2 linked regions of the Macaca mulatta genome follow. The protein of the gene in region 2 purifies or fractionates together with the protein of the main gene of each other region. This does not show direct contact. Links are inferred from orthologs where the notes say so. Each region holds a gene or a part of one and is shown on either strand. Other genes may lie near its edges. The genes, in order: TMEM30A and ATP11A.

What was found.
Region 1: the proteins of ATP11A (region 2) and TMEM30A purify together in Homo sapiens (co-immunoprecipitation; 4 studies listed by BioGRID and IntAct, with this or other methods). This does not show direct contact. The link is inferred for Macaca mulatta from reciprocal best matches to the Homo sapiens genes ATP11A and TMEM30A.

Annotation. Positions count from the first base shown.
Region 1 is NC_133409.1:110,481,585-110,488,335, reverse strand, and holds the end of TMEM30A (cell cycle control protein 50A), read right to left. Parts: intron 5,594-6,751; coding exon 5,450-5,593; intron 5,089-5,449; coding exon 4,882-5,088; intron 2,406-4,881; coding exon 2,212-2,405; 3' UTR 965-2,211; downstream 1-964. UniProt on the Homo sapiens protein: Accessory component of a P4-ATPase flippase complex which catalyzes the hydrolysis of ATP coupled to the transport of aminophospholipids from the outer to the inner leaflet of various membranes and ensures the maintenance of asymmetric distribution of phospholipids.
Region 2 is NC_133422.1:106,942,363-106,949,665, reverse strand, and holds the start of ATP11A (phospholipid-transporting ATPase IH), read right to left. Parts: upstream 4,686-7,303; 5' UTR 4,247-4,685; coding exon 4,208-4,246; intron 1-4,207. Other genes in the region: uncharacterized protein LOC114673506, read left to right, coding at 4,690-4,812, 5,722-5,810. UniProt on the Homo sapiens protein: Catalytic component of a P4-ATPase flippase complex which catalyzes the hydrolysis of ATP coupled to the transport of aminophospholipids, phosphatidylserines (PS) and phosphatidylethanolamines (PE), from the outer to the inner leaflet of the plasma membrane.

The sequences.
Region 1 (6,751 bases), on a different chromosome or scaffold from region 2:
CTTCAATTAAGCTGGCTGCATTTAAAATGCAACATGATTCTTTGAAAGGTGACTATGACATTTGAGCATAAAGCCTATAAGAAAAAGAAATGTATTCCCTCCCCCCATGCTTCACAGAGACCATATGAATGTTCCATACTCTTCATATTTAGCAACAGGAGTTCCTTAGAGATCAAACAGCAGAAAATAGGAGGAACTTAGGCCATCAATGCACTTGTAAAACAGATAAAACTCCAAATGTATTTTAAGATTCTATCTTCTCCACAGATGAGAAAATGCTGAAAGGGCTCTTCAACTTTTCTTTACTGACATCCTCTCTGTGCCCCAATTAGAAAAAGAGTTGCAGGATGGTAGTCCTCCTTAAACAGCACAGACTCAATCTGGAAAGACTGGCGAAACCCCTCTCCCCCAACAATGTATCCCAGAAAATAAACTGCCAAGTGCAAGAGGGACAATTTTCAGAATAAATAACATTCTGAAGGACTGACAAAACAAAGACTATTTTTAGACAAAGAACACACCAAATACTCCAAAATTTCAGGATAACCATACATCAAGTACTTCGTGCAAGTAATATTTTTACCAGTTAAAAGTCATTATGAAATACACATTCTTTTAACTGAATTTCATATGTTATATAAAACTTGAAAAGTGTGGCACATTTCTACTATTAACCATTACATTGCTTTTTGTTTTTTAAAAAAAGTATATATTAATCAAAAGTATACATTACCCAGGCCTTTTGATTTAAAATATAACTGAAGGAAAATATAAACTCTGAATAAACAGGCATTCTTCTACACAAACATGAGTTATTTCAGTAAAAAAAAAACAACAACAACAATAATAAAGCAATTTCAATGTAATCAAGCCACCTCTGATTAATACATACATTTTCATGCATGTGGAAAAATTATTTTTAACTAGAACTTTAAGAATAAGTTCCATAGCAAACAAGTTACAGCATTTATTCAATAAGGAATATTAAAATAATTCCAGTTAGTAAAAAATAAAATAACTTCAACCATATACATATTATAATTTATCATGTACATACTCCAAAATCCCCATAATTTAATTAGGAAATTTACAGAACATCTTTTTAAAGTATGTCTTAGGAAAACCAACCACAACAATTGGTGCATTAACTAAAGAGAATGTGCATACACATTGCCATTTGACCTATATGCAAAAGTGGAATGAAATACATAGGAAATTAAGGTTACTGCTTTCAAAAATTTCTGGAATATTAGTACTTAAGTCAAAACACTTACCTGCAAAATAAAAACAGCCTGAGGTATTTCCAAAGCTGAAGTAATTTTCTGAATGTTAAATATCACAAGAATGAAAACAGTCTCCATTAAGCATTTACATGTGGTTTACAGTTGAGGCAGAAGATGAAGCTCTGCCAAGCAGTTTTCCCATTATCACCTGAATTCTTTCTTCCCTTACAAAGCATAAGCTTCAAGGGAAATGATTACATATAAAAACATTCCAAGTGAGTTGGGGTTCCTGACTGCAACATTTAACCAAATGGAAAGAGGAATTTTTTAATTCTCCTAAGCAGGACCTACCCAACCACTGCAGACAGGAGCATTAATTCTTATGCTAGATAAGGTAAGCATGTCCTTTGAAATCAAAGCTAAGCTTGACAAATAACTGTACTGGATAAACTGGATACATGAACCACCTCAACAAAGATGGTATTTTAAGCATTTATACACATGAAAACGATGAAGTATATTATTTAGATATGGTCTTTCTTCATCTTTCTCTGAATCCTGAAAGGTTAGCAAGTCGTTATACTCATACATCTTGTAATCCCTTTCTCCACAAAATACATACACATATATAGCATCATATGTCAATATAATATCATCAACACAGCATAAAGATTTAAGCAGTAGACACAAGTCACATGAAAGAGGCTCTATGCATCATGTGGCCTGTCCCAATAAAAAGCAAACATTAGAATGCCATTTCAGCAATTACAGTGTTGATATGATCAATATAGCTAATTTTTTTATACCCGTCATATATTTTCAGAAGTCATCCATAGGGAAGAAGCAAACAACAAAGACTGCTTTTTTTTTTAGAAAAGTTATGTGCCAACTTCAAAATGACATACTAACCAGACATCAGCATTCGAAAGCTAGGTTGAATAGGACTGGCCTTGATGCACATGCAGATGATTTGCTTTCATAATATAAATTAAATGGTAATGTCAGCTGTATTACTACTGTTTCTATATTTATGATTAATTACTAGCAGTACAACTCCCAGAAGGAAGGAGATGGATCCAACAGCGATGTAAGCAATCCCCAAAAATGGATTTTTTCCTCCCATCCACGAAATAGTGCTCAAGATCATCCGTTTTCGTCCATCAAAATAATGTACAGGGTAATCTGAAGAGGGTATAGGAAGATTTTTCCATCTCTGGTTACTTGATGTTTAAAATATAATTTTAAAAGTTGCCATTTAATTGCTGGTAATTCATTTGTGTAATTCTAGGATATACAGGTACCTTACTCCCATGTTCTAAATCACACACACACACAAAATATTATCTTGAAAGACTGATTTAGCAAATTAAATGTCAGTAGTAAAAGCCAAAATATTTTACCAAAACAAACAAAATGTAAAGGTTACGCAGTTTCTCAGGTGCTTTTGGTCTCATTACATGGAAGGGGCAAAAGGCCTCAAAGGAATGCAATGTGAAAAAAATAGTTCAAGTGAACAATGAAGTCCACACAAGGAGACTGACAGACCAGGAGAAAATGGAAAAAATCAGGGACTAGAAGTCTCTGTGAGCTCAAAGAACATGTAGCAAGAGTGTAGTTATGAGACTATGAAAAGGCTCTGAGCAAAAGGTCAAAAAGCATAACAAAGTTTTAACTTGCTGATTTAGAGCAATGGCAAAACTCACTCTGTGACACAGCTGATAGCTAACAGTGGAAGTGAAGGGTGGGCTGTTAAGGAGATTTAGGAAATAGGGCACCAGTATACTAGATGAATTATCTACATGGACCAGTTGTAGAATTTTGCAAGAGGTAAGGTAGCGAAGAAGCCAGAACCAAGTCTCCATGCAAAAAGTTTACAACTTTTTCAAAAGCATCTTTTGAATCTAGGGTTAGGCCCTATCTGTTTCTCTAGTTTCTTCAACTCTCCATCCCCACAGATGGGTCCCTATGGGTCCCTAACTCCCAATGGCAGGTTCGGTTCTGCTAACTTCTTAAACCAACCCTAAACTAAGGCAGGAATGATTTTGAGACCTCTAGCTAACCCAACATTCTGTGGGATACAGTATCAAATTGCCCATGCTAGTCTCTCTCTAGCATCCCAACCCTAAAGAAACAGGCTTCTGCCTTCATTCTAGAAGTCTTCAGTTCCCACCGTATGCCCAATTTTGAAAATTAACCCTTGATGTTTTGCAGGTCCAAATTCCGGTCTTATCAAGTCTTCTCAATCTGCCATATATCATGCATTCCTTTAGATAGTTCTTTCAAAGTTGGGACCCTGCTGCGGAATTCCTGTGTGGCAATTATCTATCAACTAAGAATTCCTCAGTGCTTCACAGACTTCCCTTCATTGTGCCCTAGGCTACAGGTTGCTAAATGTGCCCTTACTCTCTAGAGATTTTCTGGATGCTAATTTTAACAGAGCTGCTCTCTAGTTTGACTATCTCCTCAGGATAATGTTCTAGAAATCAGCACTTGAACTGGGTCTGTCTGTCCAAAACTGCTCCAATGTGGATTTAGTTTCAAAAACTTGGTCACTTTTAGCTTGCCATAGCAGGCCATATTTACTTGTGTATTCAGGTGCAATAGCAAGAGACTAGAATCCAAAAAAAAATATTTTTAAATTGGGTCTATTAATTTAACCATTTACTAACCCATTTTAAAACCAAAACCCACTTGGATTATGACTCATTTGGATTATGAAAATAAAAAATGCAAAGATCAGCAAACATTTAAGATTCTAGCATTGGGAGATCTCTTCACTCACAGTGTATGTAAAATATAGGCTCCAGATTAAAAGATGTAAAGACTTTGGTTAGAATAAAAGAAATTACTATTTCCCTCCTAATAAAGACTGCATCTATGCAGATATGGGTTGGTGTAACTGAGTGAACTAGCGGAGATGTAGCCTATGTTGGTAGCTGAGAGTAAAATTATGGCCTTTGGAGTCAACAGCCTGGTTATGAACCCCAACTCATTGTTATTACCTGTGTAAAGTCAGGTAAGTTACTTAAGTGCTCGATATTCCTGTGTTCTGGTCTATAATAGGGAGATATGCTGCTGCCTGAATTAAATAATGAGCAGAAAACACTCAGCACAGTGTTAACACATAGAGTGGAATAAATGTTATTTATCAGCACTGAATGTGAACTTATTAATGTGGAACAAAATAGCTAATAATAAAATGTTTTGAGTTTTGATACTACCAATAGATCAAAATTATGAACAATTACATTGATACAAATTAACACATCCATTGATTTTTAATATCTAAAAATATATATATTAAAACATCCCAGTACCACTCAACTCCCAATTTTAGGTATTCTCATTGGCCTTTACATTAGGCCCAATTACAATCTCCCTTTTAAAAATACCTAGCTTGTTAATAAATCAATCACCTACATTTTAAGTAATTTACCAAACAATATGCTTCAAACCCCAGTACCAAGTATATGCAAATTGAAAACATTACTAGAAGATATAAATTTTAAAATACATTCTCGCATATACCACACATACTTTTGTAAAAATGCAGATCCCAAAACTAAAGCCCAAGGTAACATGCCACATAACACATATAAGGTTGGAGTAGACTCCTTTCAAGCTCTATGAATCTGTATACCCAGCCAAAAAAGGATACTGTATGTGATATTCAAAGAGTATCGTCCAGCTGGTAATGTTGGGTGTAAATCACTTTTCCTTTCTATAAGACGATACAACTTGCGAAAAGTAGGTAATGCCGCAGTACGCATCCAAACAATAAAATCCTCATTTATGAATCCATTATTATCTGGGTCAGAATCCAGCATGTAAACTGGTTTAAGCCAGTTTACAGGCTTTGTTGTACCTTAAAAGGAGTGGGGACGGGATGAGGAGACAAAATATTACATTGTGAAATTAAAGTGGCAGAGAAACAAATAAATTTGGATAATAAATAGGGGTTTATTCAAAAGAAGCTTTGCTGCAATTCTAAAATATTATAGCTGAAATGCTTATAAGACACCACAGAAACTGAATTCATAATTAAAAGTATACATTTCCTTTAGAATTTTAGTACATTAGAACATTTACCTAACTTGGTATGAAGGTGAGGAAAGAAAAATTGTGTTTTTCAAAGCATAAACCTTAAGATTCTGAAGACAGAAAATTTTAAATACTTCATTAAAACTCCTAGTTTAATTTTTTAAGGGATATTAGTAATGTTTTACCTTTAAATCGTTCTTCCAGGTTGTCTCCTCCAGGGGGATTTCTGAATTTCACATTTTTATCTGTCCACCAAGCAATACCTTTCTTTTTCAAAGCGATAGGTACAGGATAAGAATCATTGCCAATAAGAAACAATTCTAATGTATCTAAACACAAGAAAAGGAAGACATTACTAAATATCTCTTGAAAACGCATAGCATCTGCTTAATTCTGTGAGAAATAAGGACCTGATATTTGCTTCCAAAAGTGGTTGTGACAGAGTAGGCATATGATTCACATTTGTTCTTTATTCCTATGTGGATTAACTATGGTAACTTTATAACGCTAGATGGACTTCTCTTCCCTTAACAGAGTTCTAATTCACTTACCCATAGGCTAGCTGACATGCACTAAGATCAAATGTTTTAACATTAACCCAACTATAATTGCAAGGTAAATCTACCTTTCCTTCCTTCCTTCCAATAATGCATCCCTAATTGCTTCTTGCTTATCCATTTATCCGTCTGCGCTGTCTAATACAACAGCCACTAGGCACACAGGGCTACTGAGTCTTTTGAAATGTGGTTGGTCCAAATGAGTATGTTCTGTAAGTGTACAATACACATCAGATATCAAAGACTTAGTATAAAAAATCAGAATATGAAGTATCTCAACTTTTATATAGCATTACATGCTGAAGTAATAGTATCTTGGATATATTGTGTTACATAAAATGTATTACTAAAATTAATTTCACTTGTTTCTTTTCACAGTTTCAAATAGGACTATTAGAAAATTTAAAATTACCAGGCCAGGCGCAGTGGATCACGCCTGTAATCCCAGCATATTGGAAGGCCAAGGTGGGTGGATCACAAGGTCAGGAGTACAAGACCAGTCTGACCAATATGGTGAAACCCCATCTCTACTAAAAATACAAAAAATATAGCCAGATGTGGTAGCACGCGCCTGTAATCCCAGCTACTGGGGAGGTTGAGGCAAGAGAAATGCTTGAACCCAGGAAGCAGAGGTTGCAGTGAGCAAGATCACGCCACTGCACTCTAGCCTGGGCGACAGAACGAGACTCTGTCTCAAAAAAAGAAAAAGAAAAAAAAAAAGAAAGAAAGAAAATGTAAAATTACCTACAAGACTTGTATTTACAGCTCACATTATCTTTCTATCAGATAGTGCTGCTCTAAATGATCAATTATAGCTCCTTTTCAACGACAAAAATAAAGTGAGTGGGAAGGTCAGCCTGACTTTTATTTATTTTTTTTTTTTGAGACGGAGTCTCGCTCTGTCGCCCAGGCTGGAGTGCAGTGGCGCGA
Region 2 (7,303 bases):
GCTTCCCCATTCTTGGCTCTCCACCCAGATTACCTCACTCAGCCCTCACAATAGCTATGCAATGAGTACTGCTCTTACCCTCAGAGGAGAAAACTGAGGCAGAAGGAATTAAGCCACTTGCCCAAGGCCACATGGCTAAGAAGGGCAGGGAGGCTCCCACTCAGCATTCAGGCCACTGCCCAGAGAGTATCTAAGGAAAGTAAGCTTCCCGCTGAGGCTGCCCCGGTTTCTCTCGGAACTTAAACTACCTGAATTGGTGTTGCCCACTTTACAACTCTGAAGAGGAAATGGAACTAGCTCTCCATCCATGCTGTTAAAAAATACTCTTATTTGAGATGAGATTTGCTCTTGTTACCCAGGCTGGAGTGTAATGGTGCGATCTCAGCTCACTGCAACCTCCGCCTTCTGGGCTCAAGCATTTCTCCTGCCTCAGCCTTCTGAGTAGCTGGGATTACAGGCACCCACTACCACGCCTGGCTAATTTTCTGTATTTTTAGTAGAGACGGGGCTTCACCATGTTGGCCAGGTTGGTCTTGAACTCCTGACATCAGGTGATCCACCCGCCTCGGCCTCCCATAGTGCTAGGATTACAGGTGTGAGCCACCGTGCCCGGCCTAAAAGCGTTTTAAAAGCGTTTTAAAGCGTTTTAAAGCGTTACATCCTTTTAAAGCGTTACATCGGCCAGGCGCGGTGGCTCACGCCTGTAATCCCAGCACTTTGGGAGGCTGAGGCGGGCAGATCACAAGGTCAGGAGTTCGAGACCAGCCTGGCCAATATGGTGAAACCCCTTCTCCACTAAAAATACAAAAATTAACCGGGAGTGATGGCGGACGCCTGTAGTCCCAGCTACTCGGGAGGCTGAGGCAGGAGAATCGCTTGAACCTGGAAGGCGGAGGTTGTGGTGAGCCGAGATCGGGCCACTGCACTCCAGCCTGGGAGACAGAGCGAGACTCCATCTCAAAAAAAAAAATAAATAAATAAATAAATAAATAAAAAATAAAGTGTTACATCATGGAGGTCAAACTACCTCATGGCACAGGAACTACCCCATGACTCACATGCTACCCCACAGCACATACACTACTCCACAGTACATACGCCACTCCACGGCACACACATTACCCCTCGGCTCCCACAGCACATACACCACCCCATGGAATATACACTACCCCACAGCACAAACACTACTCCACAATATGTACACTACTCCATGGCACACATGGCACATACACCACTCCCGGCACGCAGGCTCTCTCCCCACCCCCACGACTCCCACAGCACCTACACCACCCCATAGTGCATACACCACCCCACGGCACATACACCACCCCACGGCACCACACGCTCTCCCCTGCGCCCCCCACGCACGTACATCACCCCATGGAGCATACAGCACCCCATACACACAAGCACCTCCTTATAGTATACAAACATGGCCCCATTTACAAATACAAAATATCTCTGCATGGCTCCTGTCCATCCAAACACCCAAACAACTAGTAACCCACAGGGTGGAGTACTCTGGCCTAATCGTTCATCTGTTCTCTCACTCATTTGCCTCTGCTATCTCTCTGGAGTTAACCCACAATAAAATGCCTACAGCAATGTTTTCCAAGGACTTCTTTATCTTTTAGCCACCCTCACACATCAGAAGGAGCTGGAAAGCTTTCTTAGTCCCAGGAATTGACTATGTGAACACCAAGAGGGAGTAGGGTCTGTTTATCTATCCTTTTTTATAAAGTAAGTCACGTAAGGAAACCATGAGGAAATATGAGTATTCAATCCCAGACTCCTTTTTCTGTAGCAAAAGGAAATATAATTTAGTCCCACATAGTGGACGATAACGAAATAACAAGAAAGCAGATCATGACTGTTTCTGGAAAAAGTCGAATTAGTTTAATACCATAGACATGAACTTAAAATTATAGAGATGAATGGTTTTGTGTGTAAATATGGGTGAGGTAGCCAGACGAATACACTGCAAAAAACACATGCGGAATGAGAAAAACAGAAATAATACTATCCCACAACTTGTATTTCCAAGATGTTATCAAATAACGTACATGCTGGAAAAGTTCACTAAAGAATATTGACCCCTTAGATTAAGAGAAAATGTGATGCCACTGGCGTAATAATCCAACAAAAGGGAATTAAAAATGTAAGCTACGCACTTATATAAATCTATATAACAGAAAACAGCTGAAGGCCTGGAGAAAGGAAGGGCGTCAAAGCATCAAAATTGGACGTCTGTCTGTCCCCCTCCCAGGATGAAGGGGTCAGGAACTGGCTGGGAAGGTGAGATTCTCCACAGGGTGGGCCGAGCATCCATCTCTCATTTCTATGGAAAGAGGCTGCACATTAGCACCACAATGTGACCCTCCTTTTTAACACTGAGTGTTAGAAGGGAACGGAATGAACTGGGAACACCGCGGGCACAGGTAAAGTGAATGTTAGTCCCTTCCCTCTTCCATTTCCCTCGGAGGAAACAAGGCAGGAAAATAAGTTATCTAGGGACCCACATTTCTAAGCGACACAACTGAGAACAGAAGCTTCCGCCCAACAAAGCACGTCTCTCACACAGCAGGTTACCCACAGTCACTGTGATTGGGTCTTCTATAACGTTACCACAGTGAAACACAGGTTTACCACTCACATTAGGATTTGAATTGGGGGCTGGAGCACCAGTGAAGGGGTAACACAAGGTTCCTGCAGCTAAGCCTTTCCAGATCTAGCATCGAAATCATCAGAATCACCAGGGGTGAGTTCTCTCCACTTAAGTAAAGCAGGCTGACCTTCCTAAGGCTTCCCCGACATCAGGAAACAATGTAAGGTGCACTCAAGTCCCCCTTGACTCTCCGAGGTTTTTGGTTAGTATATAAATCCGGGGGAAAGCATTGATCTGGCATCCTCCGCTGAAAAGAAACCTATCTTTGGCCAAGGTCTCCTATTTAAAGAAAGCTCATAAATATGAAAGGCTGCCTGAGGTAATTCCTATGCCGGGAAAGAACAAAGTTCCCATAATACTGCCCTCTCTAGTACCAAACCCGGTGCATGCGACTTCTCGAACCTGTGACTGACCACTGACCGCCAGCCTCTATGGAACAATGATGCCTCTTGTGCAAGACAGTGGCAGGAAACGCTGTGCTTGGGACAGTTTTCTTCCTCTTCTACACACACATATACACTTTTTTTTTTTTTAGACGGAGTCTCACTCTGTCACCCAGGTTGGAGTGCAGTGGCTCCATCTCGGCTCACTGCTGCAACCTCCGACTCCCGGGTTCAAGCGATTCTCCTGCCTCAGCCTCCTGAGTAGCTGGGATCACAGGCGTCCACCACCACGCCGGCTAATTTTTGTATTTTTTAGTAGAGACGGAGTTTCACCATGTTGGTCAGGCTGGTCTCAAACTCCTAACCTCATGATCCGCCCGCCTTGGCCTCCCAAAGTGCTGGGATTACAGGAGTGAGCCACCGCGCCCGGCCACACACCCCTTTTTACACCTAACGCCAGGGATTCCGGTTTCCCCTCCTCTGGTGTAAAATAAAATCAACTTTTCTCCTTCCGAGTCTTCCCTCCTGAGCTCTTCACTGGCTTATCACTGAAGGGGCAGATTCCGGAGGAACCCAAGAAGACCCGAACTTCTGATCTAATCGGTTACTTTAAGGTAAAAAATAAAAAGATTCCAACTCCGCTTCTGAATCCCCCGGGGTGTTAAAGAACAAACACATTTGCTAGCTTTTTCTGCAGAAGTGTAACGCTTCCTCCCAATCTCTTAATCTTCCCGCAGACACGGCTGCGCGGAAGCCGCATCTGAAGGTTCCTCCCCGGACCCGGGCCCCGGTGGGGTCGAAGTTGGCTCTCTCCGGGCGCCCGGTCCGCCGGGACGGCTCGAACCCCAGCCAGTCTCTCCGAGGAACCCCCAGGGCGCTGCGGGCGGGAAGGGGGCGCGAGGCGGCCGCGGCAGGAGAGCAGGTGGCGGCCTCAGGCGGGGGCCGTGCGCTGTGCCCACCTAGACCCCGTCGGAAGCCCCAGGGTCTCAACTCCGAGGCCCCTCCCCAGCATCCCGCCTGGCCCCGGGGGCGGTCAGCGTCCCAGACATGGGAGCCCTCCCACGATCCCGGGGCTGGACCGGCCACAGGGTCGGGGCTGCGGGGCCGCCCCGCGTCTGTCTGGTACCCGGGTCCCCCAGCCCGCGCCGGGAGCACTCACGTATCTGTGCACGAGCGTCCGCACGAGGCTGCAGTCCATGGCTCCTCCGGCCGCTCCCGCTCCGCCGCTCAGCGCCCCCGCGCCCGGCTCGGCGCGCCCATGGGCTCCGGGGTCCGAGTGCGGCCGCGCCCCCTGCTCCGGTCACGGCCTGGGCGCGCCGGGCGGTGCAGGGGGCGGCCGCGGCCCCTCCGCGCTCATGCCCGGCCCGGCCGGCGAATGCTGGGTCCGCGGCGCCGCGCGTCGGCTGCTGCTCCGCGGGCGGCGAGGCTGCTGCTCCGGGCCGCGCGCGAGCTCTGGCGCCTTCTCTCTCCCCGTCGGTCCGCCCGCTGGGTTGGGCTCGACTGAGGCACTCCGGCCGCAGCGGAGCCTGCGCTCTCCTCCTCCCGAGTCTCCTCCTCCCCGGCCCGCCGCCCTCTGGAGCCTCCGGGCCCCGCTGGCTCCTGCCCCTGCTCCCGGCGCGCACGTCACCGGCGCGAGTGAGCATGCGCCCCGCGGCCGCAGCCCCCGCCCGCCCCGCGCCCACACCCGCGCTCGCACCGGCGCGCCAGCCCTGCCCCCTCACGCCTCGGCCCGGGCCCCTCAGACCCTGGGGGCAGAGGGCAGAGGTCAGAGGCCGCGGGGAGGAACCCCTGTTGCTTCCGCCTCCCGGGGCGCAGGCGCGGGGCGCGGCGGGAAAGGGGCTCGGCACTGGGGGAACCCGGAGTCTCGGTCAGGGTACCAGGGCTTCCTTCCCGGGTTCCTGCGGGAAAACTTTTCTCCTCCTCCCGGAAGCCTCGATGGGGCAGTGAGATCGCGGGGCGAGGTGGAAGTGTGGGAGGGGGCGCGGGGAGAGAGCGGGAGTCCGGCCGGGTGGGAGATCTGAGCCGAGGCTGGGTTTCGCCCCGGAACGTGGCGCCGCCGACCCGCCGGCTTTTCCTGCTCTGCAGGTGGCTGCCCCGGTTCCGAAACCCGGTGGCTCCCAGGGCCCGGCCTCTGGCCCTCTGGCCCCGAAGCTGCGACAGCGGAAGACACTTAGGTGGCCTGAGGGGTTGGTGAACCACAGAGGAGTTCAGCTTCTCCTGGTCTCCAGCTCCCCGTGGCGTGTCCTTCATGCTGCTGGCTTTGAACTGGGCTGAGGAGTATTTGCCACACAAACACTACCATTTGCATCCCAGAGAATGCCTCTGTTTTCTCTAGGGTGACCTGGCCCGGGGAACAAGCACTTTGTTCTCTAAATCCACCCAGCCTTGACTTAATTGAGATACTTGGTTTCCAACTTCCTGTCTTACTGCCATAGATAATCACTGATGAAACCAAACAGACAACACCTTTTGGTGGCCTGTGGAGAACGCTGCCCCGTCTGGGTCTTAGGAACGCAGTTGAATATGAATGTTCTCCCGAGTGCTTGCGGAAAAGAAATGGTGTTAGCCACCTTTTAGACGAATAGAAATGAGTACTAGTGAACAATAATCGTAGTGACTGAACAGTAAACGGCTCCCACTTCTTGTCCAAATCACCGATTCTCCATTTTCCAGCCCGTCCTGCTGCAGCCTGCCCTGAGCTCCGGAAGCTGGTGGTGCCCCTCAGTGGATCTTCACCCACAGGAGCACCTGCTGCAGACCAGGTAGGAGAGAGGCAGGGGCCTGCTCCCCTCTCCTTCCCGCCTGCCCCTACATCCTCCAGTGTTGGTTTACCTCTGCGGCCAAGATTCTTCTTCCCGGGTGCCCGTTCCATTGCATAACTCCTCCAGGCTCTACGAACAGAACTTATCGCCTCCCCCGAGCCTCTTAGGGTGAAACATGTTGTCGGTCTGCCACTGTTTCTGGTCCCTAAATAGCAGCACCCTTTTGAAGGGTCCTTGAACCATGACCTCACCGCAACAAACAGTCCCTTCATCAAACTCCTTTCCAAATCCCCTCCTAAGAACACCTTCATTTTCCTGCAAGAACTCTGACTGCTGGAGCCGGATTTTGACTAAGCTTCTACCTTGTAAACTGTGACTGTGGGATTGGGGTGGAGGCGCAAACAGAGGTTGTATAAGGCACTGTATCAAGGCTGCCTGCCTGTCAGGAGTGTCTGCTTTATTCAGTGGTAAATGCGAATTATTTTTCATTCTGTAGCGAATACTACAGGGCAGCAGCCATGCCCTCTTTATCCTTGCTGGCTCAGATATCCACCCTCTGTGTGGCTGAGGGTAAACTGTGTCTCTTTTGAGAAAATCTTGGTAGCTCCATTTCTCTTTCCAACGATTGGCTTCAAACAAGCTCAAGTCAATGAGTCCCAACAGGAAGCCTGCTGGGGGTTGTCTGGCCAAGGTTTTCTCACTCCTACAGGAACATAAACAGGAAATGCTCCTTTTTCCCTGGCGGATGTTGCGTTCCCTGTCTGGATGCAATGCCTGGTGCTCCACAGCCCTTTGCACCCACGAGAGAAGGTGGCCGGAAGAGCATCTTCACTCTGGCCACCTGGGAAGATGAGAAGAGCAGGGGTCCTCGGCACAATCAGACAATTCACCAAAACCCTGCTGCCCTCACCTGGAATTTCCTGCTATGAGAGATGTCTTCATTTAAACCACATGAGCTGGATTTTCTAACACATGTCAGCATCTTCGTGGTAAATCTAAGGAAAAAAAAATCAGAACTATTAAAAAACAAAGTCCAACTCACCCCGTGCTATGGTTTGAAAGTGTCCTCCCAAATTCACATGTAGAAATCTAATCCCAAATACCTAATCACTAATCCCAAATATCAAGAGGTGGAGGCCTTGGGAGGTGATTAGGAATGGGATTAGTGCCCTTTAAAACAGGTTTTTGGGAGCCTGCTTGCCCTTTCTGCCATATGAAGACGCTTAGAAGAGGCCTTCTATGAGGGAGAGAACTTTTCTCAGATGCCAGATCTGCTGGGACCTTGATCTTGGATTTCTCAGCCTTCAGAACTGTGGGAAGCAAACTTCTGTGTGTATGAATAGCCATCTAAAGGATTTTGTTACAGCAGCCTGAGCAGACTAAGACACCCTGTGAGTCAGTTATTTTTGGCTGTGTCATGAGTGACCGCGAGTGCAGGAGCTGAAACAACAGTGAGTGGGTTACCATCTCTCGGGACCCTGTGGAATTGGCGA